2 linked regions of the Elephas maximus indicus genome follow. The protein of the gene in region 1 purifies or fractionates together with the protein of each later gene. This does not show direct contact. Links are inferred from orthologs where the notes say so. Each region holds a gene or a part of one and is shown on either strand. Other genes may lie near its edges.

Region 1 (8,000 bases):
TACTCTCGGACTTCTCTAGTCTCTGTCAGACCAGTAAGTCTGGTTTGTTTTTTGGGGGTTTTGTGTGTGTGTGTGTGTGTGAGTTTGAATTTTGTTCTACATTTTTCTCCAGCTCTGTCCAGGACCCTCTATTGTGATCCCTGTCAGACTAGCCAGTGGTGGTAGTCCAGCGCCATCTAGTTGTGCTGGACTCAGTCTGGTGGAGGCTGTGGTAGTTGTGGTCCATTAGTCCTTTGAATTAATCTTTCCCTTGTATCTTTGGTTTTCTTCATTCTCCCTTGCTCCAGATGGGGTGGGACCAGTAGAGATATCTTAGATGGCCGTTCACAAGCTTTTAAGACCCCAGACACTACTCACCAAAGTAGGATGCAGAACATTTTCTTTATGAACTATATTATGCCAGTCGAGCTAGATGTTCCTTGAAACCATGATCCCTAGTCCTCAGCCCAGTAACTCAGTCCCTCAGGGAGTTTGGATGTGTCTGTGAATCTTCTATGACTTTGCCTTGGCCAAATTGTGCTGACTTTCGCAGTACTGTGCATTGTCTTACACTTCACCAAAGCTACCAAGTATCTAATAGGAGTGGGAAAGAAATACTTAGAAAACAAGCATAAGGAAGACTCACAGGACACATGATTAAAAACAGTTGTTTGAGGTCAGATCATGAACAGCTAAGACCAAGAACAATCATTGTTTTGTAAGGTAGAGAGGGAAGTTTTAGAGGAGAATGTGATTTGGCCAGATTCATGGAAGATAAACCTTCAGGACTGGACTGAAGAGAAAATGGAGGTAGGAAAATGTTAGGGTTCTCCGGAGACAGCATCTGGGGTATAAGGCAGAAAACGAAATAAACAAAAAAAAGTTGCCATCGTGTCGATTCCAACTCAAGAGAACCCTATGTATGTCAGAGTAAAACTGTATTCCATAGAGTTTTTAATGGCTGATTTTTCAGAAGTAGATTGCCAGGCCTTTCTTCTGAGAAGCCTCTAGGTAGACTTGAACTTCTGACCTTTCAGTTACACCACCCAGGTACTCCAGTGGAAAACAGCGAGCAGTCAAACCTGGCAACTGAAGAAAGATTAATAGAGAAAATATTTTAAAAGATGAGGAAAGGGTTTAAGGTAACCCACAAAGAATAGGGCAATAATAGTGGAGAGTCATAATCACCCCAGGCCTATAGGGCCAGGGCAGGGTCAGAGAAGCCCCCAAAGGGTGTCTGCACTAAGAGGGCTGCCTGATGGCACCAGAAAACCCACCAACCAACCCAGATAATTTGCAGAGGCCTGGATAAGCACAGCAGACCTCACTCTTCCCACTCTCTGATCTTCTGCCAATGCCTCCCACTGGCTGAACACAGTTGGAAGCCAGGGGCAGACAGCAGAGTGGAGAGAGGACCTGGAGAAGTAGACAGAAGAGATACAGTCTAGGGGGACAGTGGTAAGGTCATGGCAGCAGGAATGGAAAGGGCACAACACAGAGACAAATTTAACTGGACGTTCAGGCTGATTAGATTTGGAGATGGGGAAAAAAATTCAAAGATGACTTCATAGTTTCAAGCCCAAGTTACTAGGTGAGAATAATAACATCAACTGATCCTGTTTTCACCAACCATCATATTCCTCAAAGGAGTCCCTAGGTGGTGCAAATGGTTAACATGCAGGCTACTAACAGAAAGGTTAAAGGTTCAAATCCACCCAGAGGCACCTCAAAAGAAAGGCCTGGCAATCTACTTTTGAAAAATCAGCTCTCGAAAACCCTATGGAACAGATTTCTGCTCTGAGACAAATGGGTGACCATAACTTGGAAACAACTCAACGGCAACTGTTTTTGTTGTTTGGTTGGTTGGTTTAAAGATGTATTTCTAAGAACCATCTACACAAAAGTAGCAACTGAAAACATGTGAGTGAATGAAATGGCAGAGAGAGTGGGGATAGAAAAGAAGTCAGGTCTGAACAGCAAACTTGAGAACCATCTTCATTTACGGGACAAAAGGGGGAAGAAATCCAACAAAGGGGAAGGGCAACATGTACAACTATTGGCCATATTGTTTAAACATATTTGCACATTTCTGGTAGGGCTTTTTTTTCCCCCCTTAACACTGCACAGGTTTGCCTAAGTTAAGGATGACATAAGTGCAAGCTGGAGACCATCACTTACCCACATGCCTCAGCAAGATTATTTTTAAGCCCCAAATCGCAATCTTACTACTTTCACTCGCTTTGAATTTAACACAGCCAACATTTGTTGTTGTTGTTTTTAGATGTCATCAAGTCAATTCCGACTTATAGCAACCCCCATATGACAGAGCAGAACTGCCCCATAAGGTTTTCTAGGCTGTAATCTTTCTAGGAGCAGATGGCCTGGTCTTCTCTCCCCCAGAGCTACTGGTGAGTTCAAACCTCCAACCTCTCGGTTAGCAGCCCAGCGTTGAAGCACCGTACCAGCTAACGTTAATACTTTTCTTAATTTAGGAAAGCTTATAATTCTTATTCTTTCAATCAATCACATGTAGAGTGCCTATTGTGTATTCAGCACTATGCTGAGCAAAAACCAAAAACCAAACCCATTGCCATCAAGCCGGTTCCGACTCACAGCAACCCTATGGGACAGAGCAGAACCACCCCATAGGGTTCCCAAGGAGCAGCTGGTGGATTCGAACTGCCAACCTTTTTTGTTAGCAGCCAAGGTCTTAATCACTGTGCCACCCAAAGTGATAATGAAATTCAGCCTCCAGTCATCAAGGAAATTAAAATCCAGTTGGACTATAAAAAACAATTTATTAAAACAATTAGGGAATAATTCAGAACTGACCTATATGATCCAGACCACTTTTCATCCAGTGAGAAGTCATCCCATTCAACACCTGTACTCTACTCTTTTTTTTCCTGATCCCGAAGATTGACAGAGGAGCTAAATCCTACATAGCTGCACACCCTACTAAAGGCCCAATCACACTTTATATTACTCCTCTCTTACCCAGTGTTCCATAAGGTTTCAGTGATCTTTGTATCCAGTGACTTACACATAGTAGCCATTTAACTTAGTATGCGTTGAGTGAATGAATGAATCAGCAGCCAAGTCAAGCACAGAGCAGTCATATCAATAACCTTAACTCTCTCCTATGACAAACTGCAAAAGCTCTAAGGTTCAAGGCAGTTACCTAATGCGGCCTTTGATCTAGCCTTGGCCCCATGGAATGACTGGGAGTAAAGACTTAGTGCAGACAGAAAACCAGAAAATCCTCAACTTCTTTAATTTAGATAAGAGGAAGAAAGGACAGTCTAGTATAATGCCTGACACATAACCTGGGCTCAGTAAATGTCTGATGAATCAATGAACGAAGGAAAGGTAGTGAGCTCAAGAAAAGAGCAAACTCAGGGCCCACGTAGCGTGGGTGAGCTGTATCTAGGGCCCTCTATAGCTGAAACTCAACTGAGTCTGTTTCCCAACCACTTGTATGTTAATTTCTGCTGCTTCATTCTCCAGCATAAGCCTCCCTTCAGCCTCCAAATCTCGGTTAAAAAATAAATAAAACCTTTAGGTTACACAATCAGCAGTGCCTCGCAAACCTGGACGTGCATACTAATAATCATCTAGAATCTTGTTAAAATGAAGATTCTGATTCAGTCCATCTGGGGTTAGGCCTGAGACTCTGCATTTCTAATAAGCTCCCAAGTGATGCTATGCCGCTGATTAACCCTTTGAGTATCAAGAGCCTGGAACACATTGCAGACTAATGTATGTAGATACCTCCTGCTCCCACATTTCCTAGGTATATAACCTTAGACAAGTCATTTCACCTCTCCGAGTCTTCCTTTTCCATCAGTGGGCTAGGGTTAATAACAATTATAGCTAGCATTTATTGAATACTTAGTATGTACCAGGAACTAATGTTTCATATTTTTTAAAGTGTCATTATTTGACCCTTTTAACAACCCTGAGGTAACCTCATTTTGAGAATGTGCAGGGCTTAGAGACGTCATGCTTAGTAGAAAGTGAAAAAGGAGAGCCTCAATGAGATAGACTGACATAGTGGCTGCAACAATGGGCTCGAACATACCTATTATTATGAGGATGGCACAGGACTGGGCAACGTTTCGTTCTGTTATACATGGGGTCACTATGAGTTGGAACTTACTAGACAGCACCTAACAACAGGGCTTGAAGAGGTTATAAACAACCTGTCCAGGATATATGTAAACAGTAAACTCAGATCTGATCTTAGGTGATTTGACTCAAGAACCTGGTGCTTAACCGCAATGTAACACTGCCTCTTCAACTTACCTCCCAGAGCCATCATGAATATTAAATAATTAGCTTTAGGCTGACATGCATTGACCAGTTCGCCCATGTTCCAGGGCCTAGTCTAAGCCTCCCTTGGGGCACATTAGCTTATTTAGCTTCCTAACAGTCTCGCATCTTACACGTTTTAAAATAGGCCCAGACAAGTTAAACAGAGGAAGGTCAAACTGCTCCTAAGTGGCAAATTCGAGACGTCCCTGGTGCTCTTTAGCTAAAGCCCCGGAGCTCTGAAGTACCAGCCATCTGCCCGCTCCCAAACCGACCCAAACCTTCTTCTGCACTTAGCTCTACGTTTATCTGTGCGATGTGTCCACACCTAGAACCTGGTGAGCGGATTAGGGCCCAAGAACAGCTGGGTGGCTACAAATCTTTGCAAGATATTTAACCTGAACTTGTAACACCGTCGCTCCGGAACGCCCTTCATCTCCTGCCCTAGCAATTGGCCCCGCCCCGAGGCCCCGCCCCGAGGCCCCCACCCGCAATCTCGGAGCCGCGGTCCCAATCAGGCTCTGGAACTTGTAGTCCGCGCAACTCGTGCCAGCTCCGCCTACATCCGGGCGCAAGTCGAACGGCCCTGCCTCTAATACCATAAACTCTCCAACACCGCCCTCTGCCGGCTTTTGGGGAAAGGTCACCCAGACGGCAAGCCGGTTCCGGATGCTCCGGAAGTGAAGCTTTCTTTTCCGGACCGAGCATCTGGGCGTCTGCACGTGGTTGTTTTGCCGGACTTGAACCGGCGCCGGCGGAAAAGTGAGTTCAGGCTCAGCCTCAGAGCTAGTGAGCTGAACCAGAGCCATGGAGAGTCAGAGCGTGGAGGAGCTACTAGCAAAGGCGGAGCGGGACGAGGCAGAAAAGCTGCAGCGTATCACGGTGCATAAGGAACTGGAATTGGAGTTTGACTTAGGCAATTTGTTGGCCTCAGACCGGAACCCCCCAACGGGACTGCGGTGCGCGGGACCCACACTGGAGGCTGAGCTGCGGAGCTTGGCGCGGGACAACACGCAGCTGCTCATCAATCAGCTGTGGCAGCTGCCCACGGAGCGCGTGGAGGAGGCGCTAGTGGCACGGCTGCCCGAGCCCACCACGCGCCTGCCTCGCGAGAAGCCGGTGCCCCGGCCGCGGCCGCTTACGCGCTGGCAGCAGTTTGCGCGCCTGAAAGGCATACGACCCAAGAAGAAGACCAATCTGGTGTGGGACGAGGTGAGCGGTCAGTGGCGGCGCCGCTGGGGCTACCAGCGCGCCCGCGACGACACCAAGGAGTGGCTGATCGAGGTGCCTGGCAGGGCCGACCCCTTGGAGGACCAGTTCGCCAAGCGGGTTCAGGCCAAGAAGGAACGGGTGGCCAAGAACGAACTGAACCGGCTGCGTAACCTGGCCCGTGCACACAAAATGCAGCTACCCAGTGCGGCCGGCATGCACCCAACTGGACACCAGAGCAAGGAGGAGCTGGGCCGCGCCATGCAAGTGGCCAAAGTCTCTACCGCTTCTGTGGGACGCTTCCAGGAGCGTCTGCCCAAGGAGAAGGCGCCTCGGGGCTCCGGCAAGAAGAGGAAGTTTCAGCCTCTCTTCGGGGACTTTGCAGCCGAGAAGAAGAGCCAGTTGGAGCTGCTGCGAGTCATGAACAGCAAAAAGCCTCAGCTGGACGTGACGAGGGCCACCAATAAGCAGATGAGGGAGGAGGACCAGGAGGAGGCCGCCAAGAAGAGAAAGATGAGCCAGAAGGGCAAGAGAAAGGGGGGTCGGCAGGGCCCTGGGGGCAAGAGGAAAGGGGGCCCGCCCCACCTGGAAGGGAGGAGAAAAGGGGGCTTTGGAGGCAAGATTAATTCTGGGCCTCCTGGCTTGGGTGGCAAAAAGAAGGGAGGCCAGCACCAAGGAGGAAAGAGGAGGAAGTAATAGTTTTCACCCTTGGGTCCCCTCTGTAAACCAAAAACTATGCTAAACGTTAAACTTAAAGTAGCGGGATGCACAAGAAAGTGGCAGCTGCCTTCATTGAACTTGAGGTTAAAGGGACAGTGTTGCCCTCCCTTCAAGAGGGTATTTTAAGTGTTGGACTCTACAAATGAGTGTTATTCCTGCAACGGAGGGTTTGGCTGGAGTTTAAAGGACGCGTTTGAGGGCATCAGAATTAGGGCAAGAATTTGATGGACAGTGGGAATGAGTCTATTCTTAAAACAGCCTTTTTCTTTTTAATGTTGGCTATAGGGCAAGAGAGAGTTGGTCATATATCAGAGACTTACTGATTTATACGTTTCTTCATTTTTATCAAAGCAAAGGGAAAGGAAAGATTACAAACATTTTCTCAAGTGGGCTTTAAAGTAACTATTTTAAAGGTTATTTAATAAAGCTGTGTCTGTATCCAGTGTTACTTTTAACTTCTTTTGGTAGAAATCAAGTGAAACCTGTCATCTGAATACCAGGTATAGAATCTTTTTATTCATTTTAGAAAAAACACAAAGCAGCTATATTATGGTTTCAGAGAGACCACTTTAGTTAGAAAAACTCATACTTGTTTTGTTACCAAGTGTATTGAAGGTGTACAACAGATGTTTGTTTGAAAAAAAGATATTAAGCTTTTTCACGCTTTGAAAACTATTGGTTCACTGTAAATATAAGTGTGGGCGTAACTAAATAATGCTAATAATCCTCATTAATCCAGAAAATATTTAAAGTTTTCTGGATATTTAAGTCCCTAATTTGTTTTTCTTTTGGTTTATTTTCTTTTGTTTTTAGCTTCATGTTAAATAGGGTACCAGAGAAAGAGACCCACAAAGTCTTTAATTGGATCATTGTTATTTTTTGTTTTATCTGTCAGATTGACCTGAGCTGGTTTGATTAGAGGAGTCCCTAGGTGGTTCGCTCAACTGCCAAACAGATTTGGAGTTTTGAGTTCACCCACAAGCACCTCGGAAGAAAGGCCTGGCCATCTGTTTCTGAAAAATCAGTCATTGAGAGCCCTGTGGAGCACTGTCTGCGACACACAGGGTCGCCATGACCAGAGTTGACTCCTTGGCGGCTGCTGTGGTGGTGCTTTGATTAGAAGGGAAAATGTTTATGGCTGTCCTGGTGTACTTTTCTGCCCATCAGTCTCTTTCCCTAATAAAGATCTGAAAAGAATTCATAGTTGATCTAAAACCCAGGGGCACTTTTGTGCTGCTGTAGAGCAAAGGGCCACCCAGCTGTTTTTAGTCTGACAGTTGATAGGAAAAGGGAGAATTTGTCTTTCAGTTTTTCTGTGTAGTCTCTTACAAAGGTACTTGTAGAGGTTTCTGTGAAAAAAAAATCAGATTTCATTGTCGATGTGTAACGGTTATTAAAAACAAAGACGTTCAAATGTTACTGTCTTCAGATACTTTCTGATTAAATTAAAGGTGGAGGTTTTTGGTTTGGGCCATCATTAACCAAGTTTTCCCCTGAGAATGATAGGAACATGACACTGTTAAGGTCTTTCAGAATACAGTGTGATTGTGGAAAGTTTTAGCTAAGATCAAGTTAAACTATTTAATGGTACCATGAACAACAACATCAAAAACCAAGCAGTTCACAGTATTTGCTAATTTAACACCTTTTAAGTTCTTCCCAATTGTCAGGGTTTTTTCAGGTTTTGATTTCAGGCGTTTTTGATTTGGCAGTGGGATTCTAACACTGGCCCGTAAAATAGGTCTCTTGGGCTTTTTGAAAGATTATTGTTCACTGATAAA
Region 2 (7,720 bases), on another chromosome or scaffold:
CCCAGTAACTCAGTCCCTCAGGGAGTTTGGATGTGTCTATGAAGCTTCTATGACTTTGCCTTGGTCAAGCTGTGCTGACTTCCCTAGTATTGTGTACTGTCTTACCCTTCACCAAAGTTACCACTTGCCTGTTTGGTGTTTTTCCATCCCCATTCCTTCCCTCCCTCATAACTGTCAAAGGTTGTTTCTTTTTTGTGTATAAACCTTTCCATGAGTTTTTACAGTAGCAGTGCCATACAATATTTGTCCTTCTGTGATTGACTTATTTCACTCAGCATAATGCCCTCCAGATTCATTCATGTTGTGAGATGCTTCACAGATTCATCATTCTTATTTATCATTGCATAGTACTCCATCGTGTGAATGTACCATGGTTTGTTTACCCATTCGTCTGTTGATGGGCATCTAGGTTGTTTCTATCTTTTTGCTATTGTGAATAATGCTGCAGACAACATGGTGTGTATATGTCTATTCTTGTGATGACTCATTTCTCTAGGATATATTCCTTGGAGTGGGATTGCTGGATCATATGGTATTTCTGTTTCTAGCTTTCTAAGGAAGCATCATATTGTTTTCCAAAATGGTTGTACCATTTTGCATTCCCACTAGCAGTGTATAAGAGTTGCAATCTCCCCACAACCTCGACAACATTTGCTATTTTCTGTTTTTTTGATTAGCACGAGTAACACCAGGGTGAGACAGTGTCTCACTGTGGTTTTGATTTGCTTTCCTCTAATGGTGCATGATCTCGAGCATTTCCTCATGTGTCTGTTAGGCATTTGAATGGTTTCTTTGGTAGAGTGTCTGCTTATTTCCTTTGGCCATTTTCTGATTGGATTTTTTGTCTTTCCTTTGTTGCAGAGGGGTTGGCTTTTCCTGGAGATTTTAGAGATTAGACTTTTGTTAGATTTGTCACAGCCAAAATCTTTCCCAGTCTGTAGATTCTCTTTTTACTCTTTCAGTAAAGTCTTTTGATGAACATATGTGTTTAATATTTAGAAGATCTCAGTTATCCAGCTTATTTTCTGGAGCTTGTGTATTGTTAGTTACGGTTTGTATTCTGTTAACACCATGTAGTAGGGCCTCTAGCATTGATCGTATTTTTACTTCTATGATCTTTATAGTTTTTGGTTTTATATTTAGATCTTTGATCCATTTTGAATTAGTTTTTGTGCATGCTGTGAGGTATGGGCCTTGTTTCATATTTTTGCAGATGGACATCCAGCTTTGCCAGCATCATTTGTTAAAAATCCTGTTTTTTCCCCATTTGATGGACTTTGGGCCCTTGTCGAAGATCAGGTGACTGTAGTTGGATAGATTTATATCTGGGCTCTCAATTCTGTTCCATTGGTCAATGTATCTGTCATTGTACCACTACCGGACTATTTTGACTACAGTAGCTGTACAGTAGGTTCTGAGGTCAGGTAGTGCGAGTCCTCCTACTTTATTCTTCTTCTTCAATAGTGTTTTACTTATCTGTATAAAGATTAGTTTTTCCATCTCTTTAAAGAAAAAACCACCCACTTGTGTTATTTTTTGTTATACCTGTACTAGGACACTAGAAAACTAAGACATTCTTGTCACATGAAAACATTTTCCCAGTTTTACTTTGATAATTTTTGAAATGCAGACATATTTAATGTGTTTATCCATTGAATGGACACGCCATGTTTATTACTCAGTCTTTTGTCATAGGCTATTTGTGTTGTTTCCAGTTTTTTCTATTATAAATAACATTGCAATGAAAGTTTTTTGTGAATCCTAGAACCAAACGAGAATGAAAACCCATCATACCAAAACCTTTGGGACACAGCAAAAGCAGTGCTCAGAGGTCATTTTAAGAAATAGGTGCATCAGACCCACCTGGGAGCTTGTTAGAAACACAGAACCTGAGGCCCTACCCCATGCCAACTGGGTCAGAGCTTGCCCCGTGGCCAAATCTGCAGGTAATTGCATGCTTTGTTAGGTCTGAGAAGCACTGTGCTAACAAACTGGCAGCAGGTGTCCCAACCTTGAGTTACTCCTATGGATGCAAAGGGAGGTCAGGAGTTCGTGGAGGTGGTGGGGAAACAGGGAGGCTATGCTGGAAGAGAAACTTCAGTTTGCTGTCTTCCCTTCCCTGCTCCCTTCCTCCTCTCTCCTCCCCCAAGCCCCATTCTGGGAAAGGAGGGGGTGTCTCACACACACAGACACGAAGGGAGGGGTCTTTAGAGAAATGGAGAGCTTGGTTTTCATTCTCTGGAATTTGGAGGATTCAGAGATCTGTTCCTGCCTTATGCACCAAACTTTGGGACCAGCCAGGGCTGCCCGGCAGCGGCACAAAGAAAGCGAAGGCTGTGTTTGGAGAGCCCTTACTGAAGGATCAGGACCAGGGTTAGCTTAGGAAGGCCTTCCCAAGAAGAGCCCCTGGAAGTACAGCAACCAGGCAGAGACCACTTCAAAAGTACATTCAGAAAGTGAAGTAAGTCAGTCACAGAATGACGAACATTGTTTGATCCCGCTTACATGAAATATCTAGGACAGGCAAACGAAAGGAGACCAAAATAGATAAGTAGTTAGCAGGGGCATTTGGGCTGGGTGGGGGGGGCGGGGGGGGGGAAGGGAACTATTGCTTAAAAGGCCCTGAGTTAAAGCTGAAGAAAAAAATTGGAAACTGATGATGGTAGCACAACATGGTGAATGTAATTAATAGCTGAATTGTACATGTACAGAGGGCAGAAAGGCAGGTGCTTTGTTGCACATGACCCGTGGCCTCCTGCTGTCACGTCAATTCTGACTCATAGCAACTCTACAGGACAAAGTAAAACTGCCCCATAGGGTTTCCAAGGAGCAGCTGGTGGATCCAAACTGCCAGCCTTTTGGTTAGAAACCTGAGCTCTTAACCACTGAGCCACCAGGCTCATTATCTATGTTATATATACTTCATCACAATTAAAAATGAAAAAGTGCCCTTGTAGGGAAAGAGCCAGCAGCCAGAAGCTCTTGGGCCACCCGACACCTGCCAGTCACATAGTCCCTTCCTGTCCCTCCCTCTGCTCTCTCCTGTTCCAGCCCTGCAGAGGACCCAACTTATACCCAGGGCACAAGAAAGAAGACACAGCCGAGAATTTCTCAGCCTCAGGCTCACCAGGTAAGGAGAATTTAACACTGGATTCTGAACACCTGGAAAATGCTTCTGTTGACTACTATCTGAGGAGTGACCAGAGGAAGGATGAGCTATCCCCAAGATTTCATGCAGGGAGAGGAGAAGCCAGCTCAGAGAAGGAGCATTCCTGAGGAAGAATGAAATTGCCCTCTGCTGCTTGGGCCCCAAAAGTCCGGCCTGTCCATGCAAACACAGTGATGAGAGAGAGTGTCCAAAAGGGCGTGCTGATCCTAGCTCAGGTTGGGATGCCTTCCCTGAGGGGGACATGGAGCTGAGCACTGAGGGTGGCTGAAGGGAAGGGGGCAAAGGGCATGGACGCCGTGCCTCCTGGCAAAGGAAGCAGCTGGCCAGCCCTGTGTGGTTCCCCCTCCCACTCTGCGACTGTCACTAGACACCCCTCCAGGGTCCCCGTACTAGTTCCAGGGCACAAAGCCCCCTATCTGGAGAATAGCTCTGGTTAGACCTGTGCTTAGCCTCCACTGCCTGATTCCTGCAACCTGTTGTCCACACTTAGAGACCAGGCCAGCGCACCTCACGCGAGCCACCGGCCGTCTGTCAGTGTTGCTGAACAGGTTTCAGCGGAGCTTCCAGGCTAAGATGGACTAGGAAGAAAGACCTGGCCATCTACTTCCGAAAATCAGCCAGTAAAAAGCCTATGGATCACACCAGGTCCTATCTGCAATGGATCATTCCCTTGGGCATTGGGTGGCCGTAAGTTGCTGACTCGATGGCAGCTAACAACGACAAATCTTAAAATATAAATTCATAATAGCCACAGCCTTGCTTTAAAACCCTCACATCGCCCTGCATTTAAAATCAAACCCAAGCTTTACGCCTGCTCACCTCGCGCATCGCACCTCCTCACGCCCACCTTCCCTCGCTCCTTGGCTCCAATCACAGCGGCGGATGCCAACCCCACTGACAGGGCGCTGTGCTCCGGTCCGCACCGCAGCTGGGGTCGCCGCGCAGATGCCCGCTGCAGGAGCCCTCCTGGCCCGCCTCTCCCCTGCAGCCTCTTACGTCTCTCCGGCACCTCCCCCTCCCCCTCCCCCACGTGTCTCTCTGTCCTACCCCCGCCCCCAAGCTCTAAGTTCCCCAAGGCAGCAACACAGGGACATGTACCAGGGGCCCAAAACCACAAATGAGTAAAAAAAAAAAAAAAGAAAGAGTAAATGAATGAAGCCATATTTCGGCAAGGACAATGATACTGTTTTGGAGTTTATTTTTAATTCCCCCATAAAATTGTACTGCCACTCGAATCCGTTGCCGTCATGTCGAGGCTGACTCATAGCGACTCTACAGGACAGAGTAGAAGTGCCCCATAGGGTTTCCAAGGAGCTCCTGGTGGATTTGAACGGCCGGCCTTTTGGTTAGCAGCCGAGCCTTGACCACCGCTCAACCGAACAAGTGACCGACCATCTGCCATTCTAGCCAGGTGGAAGGTGTGTGACGGCGCGCCAGCAGGGGGCGCGCGAGCTCTCCGCGTCCGGCCTGGGCTCCGCCCCGGCATAAGCCTCGCCTCACCCCTTCCCCCGCCCCCCGCCTCCACTTCCGCTTCGAGGGAGCTGACGGCCTCGCATTTCCGGGAGCTCCGCGTGGAGCGTCTGTGCTGGGGTGTGTTGGACATGGCGGATTTTTCCGGCCCTGCTAAGCCCCTCCTGTCGCTGAACCCGCAGGACCAGGCCAGGTTTCAGAAGCAGGTGGCGCAGGCCCGCCGGCGCGCGACCCAGGTGAGCGGCCGCCGCGGCCTGGACCGGGAGGGGTGGCGGCAGACGGGCGGCGGCGGCCTCAGCTCGCGCGGAGCCCAGCCCGAGCCTCTGTCCGGCGCGCCTGCCCTGCTCCGGCCTCCGCTCTCCCGGGGTCTCCCCAGGTGGGCGCCCGACTGACTCAGGAACTGTCTCCGGAGCCGGCCGGGCCTGGGACCCTGACGGGGAGGTCACGGGCAGGTACGGGTGACGCCGGAGGAGGAAGAGAGCGCCAGCTGGTGGGGTGGCCCTCCCGCACTGCGGCTAACTCGCGGTTAGAGCCGTCCCGCTTCCGCTTTCCCGCGAAAATGGGGTTCCCGTCCCAGACATGCCCACCACTCGGTAGGTTTCTGTGCTCGCTTGGTGATTTTGCAGTTCTTTTAAAAGACAGCTTTTTCCAAAGTCTGTTTGCTGACTGTGGCTCCTGACATCAGCTTCATATTTGCTTTGATTTTAGCGTAAAAAAAAAAAAAAAAACCGTTGCTGTCGAGTTGATTCCGACTCATAGCGGCCCTATAGGAGAGTAGAACCGCCCCATAGGTTTTCCAAGGTTGTATTCTTGACGGAAGCAGACTGCCACATCTTTCCCCCTAGAGTGGCTGGTGGGTTCCAGAGCAGCAGCCTAGTGCTTTAACCACTGAGCCAACAGGGCTCCTTCAGCGTAAAATACACGGGGCGGGAAACTAATTAAAAGCTCTTGTTAAAAAGTAGGTATGTGGTAACTGAGATGCTCAGTTTTCCTTGTGAACGTTAGCAGACTTCTAGAATCTCTTCGATTAGGTGCGAGTAAGTGGTATGCCTAAAAAATTGAAGGGGACATTTGTGCAAGTTCTCTGGGCAGGAAATTTAAAACGACGTGTTCAGAGGTTTATTTGTTTATTGGTTGATCCAGTATAGACTTTTGTAGTCCTTACAGTGTGGTGGGATATGAAACTGAGAAGAATGTTGTCTGCTTGATGATTGTTCTGGGGAGATAGACATTAAACCACTAACTCTTTAATTACAGGTGTAATAACTGGAAATACATGGTCATTCTTGGCATCTTTGTTGAACCTAAACCTGGGGGTTTTCTTGCAATGTCATTTTGTTGTTGTTAATTTGAAAGTATATATATTTACTTGATCTTTTTATCCTTAGCAAGAAAAACTTACTCCTGGAGTAGTCTATGTGGGCCACATACCTCGAGGCCTTTTTGAACCCCAGCTCAAGGCATATTTCTCCCAGTTTGGCACTGTTACAAGACTCAAATTGTCCAGAAGTAAAAAGGTAAAATTTTTAAAATTGAATTAGGTTATTTATCTTATTTTTCAAATATATGTATATAAGCCTTGATAATCATATCATCGAGTTTTATTCATATCCAAAGATATTTAATGCCAGATTGTAAAACTTTTCTAGTTGGCCCTAATAAATGGTAACATTTACTGATAGTTTACAGAGCATTGTCACATATGGGATTGTTTGCTTGGTGTTTCCAGCATTCTTGGGATTGTTGGGTAAAGGATTAATATTTTGCCATATGATAAGTATTTTCAGATCATTTCTCAAAAGGTTTATATCTGTGTACAGTGGTGGTAAATTGACTGGGATTTCACAGGGTTTCCCTTCCACTCCTCCACCATCTGTCTCCTCCCTGTTGAGAGTTGGGATTGTGAGATAGGTTTGGCATTTTAATTTTTACCAAAATCCCCCTGCAGAGAAACTGAGACTCAGAGTTGTGGACTTGTCCAGGTAGCAAGTTACACCACAGCTGATGCTAGAAATGAACCTGCTGATTCCCAGTCTGTTAGCCATGCAACTTTTAAGTGGTTTCTTATCTCCAGAATCGTATCATCGAGTTTTATTCATATCCAGAAATATTTAATGCCAGATTGTAAAACCTTTCTAGTTGGCCTTAATAACCTGTAACATTTACTGAGTACTTAACTGACATAATGTTGAGCTCCCGTGGATTATTCCATGTCTTTATACCAATCCTGTGAGAATGGTTATTTTATCATCCCAGTTTTATAGATTCAAAAACTGTGGCTCAGGGAGCTTAAATGTTACTTACCCATGTAAGCATCACAGCAGGATCCAAATGTGGGCAATTGGACTCCAGAATCCACACAATTGTTCCTAAGATTTGGTGTTATTGTTAGGTGCGGTTGAGTTGGTTCTGACTCATAGCAACCCTATGCACAACAGAACGAAACACTGCCCAGTCCTGCGCCATCCTTACAGTCGTTGTTATGCTTGAGCTCATTGTTGCAGCCACTGTGTCAATCCACTTCGTTAAGGGTCTTCCTCTTTTCCACTGATCCTGTACTCTGCCAAGCATGATGTCCTCCAGGGACTGATCCCTCCTGACAACATGTCCAAAGTATGTAAGACACAGTCTCGCCATCCTTGCCTCTAAGGAGCATTTTGGCTGCTCTTCTTCCAAGACAGATTTGTTCGTTCTTTTGGCAGTCCATTCAATATCTTCACCAACACCACAATTCAAAGGCATCAACTCTTCTTCAGTCTTCCTTATTCATTGTCCAGCTTTCCCATGCATATGACGTGACTGAAAATAGCATGGCTTGGGTCAGGCGCACCTTAGTCTTCAGGGTGACGTCGTTGCTCTTCAACACTCTGAAGAGGTCCCTTGCGGCAGATTTACCCAACCCAATCTGTCTTTTGATTTCTTGACTGCTGCTACCATGGCTGTTAATTGTGATTCCAAGTAAAATGAAGTCCTTAACAACTTCAGTCTTTTCTCCGTTTATCATGATGTTGCTCATCGGTCCAGTTGTGAGGATTTTTGTTTTCTTTATGTTGAGGTGCAATCCATACTGAAAGGTATGGT

What was found. The genes of interacting proteins can lie anywhere in the genome.
Region 2: the proteins of RRS1 (region 1) and NIFK purify together in Homo sapiens (affinity purification with mass spectrometry; 3 studies listed by BioGRID and IntAct, counting the BioPlex papers as one, with this or other methods). This does not show direct contact. The link is inferred for Elephas maximus indicus from reciprocal best matches to the Homo sapiens genes RRS1 and NIFK.

What each region holds. Positions count from the first base shown.
Region 1 is NC_064833.1:76,193,534-76,201,533, reverse strand, and holds RRS1 (ribosome biogenesis regulatory protein homolog), read left to right. Parts: upstream 1-4,992; 5' UTR 4,993-5,097; coding exon 5,098-6,195; 3' UTR 6,196-6,719; intron 6,720-7,114; 3' UTR 7,115-7,668; downstream 7,669-8,000. UniProt on the Homo sapiens protein: Involved in ribosomal large subunit assembly. May regulate the localization of the 5S RNP/5S ribonucleoprotein particle to the nucleolus.
Region 2 is NC_064824.1:6,604,261-6,611,980, reverse strand, and holds the start of NIFK (MKI67 FHA domain-interacting nucleolar phosphoprotein), read left to right. Parts: upstream 1-4,711; 5' UTR 4,712-4,770; coding exon 4,771-4,875; intron 4,876-6,027; coding exon 6,028-6,156; intron 6,157-7,720.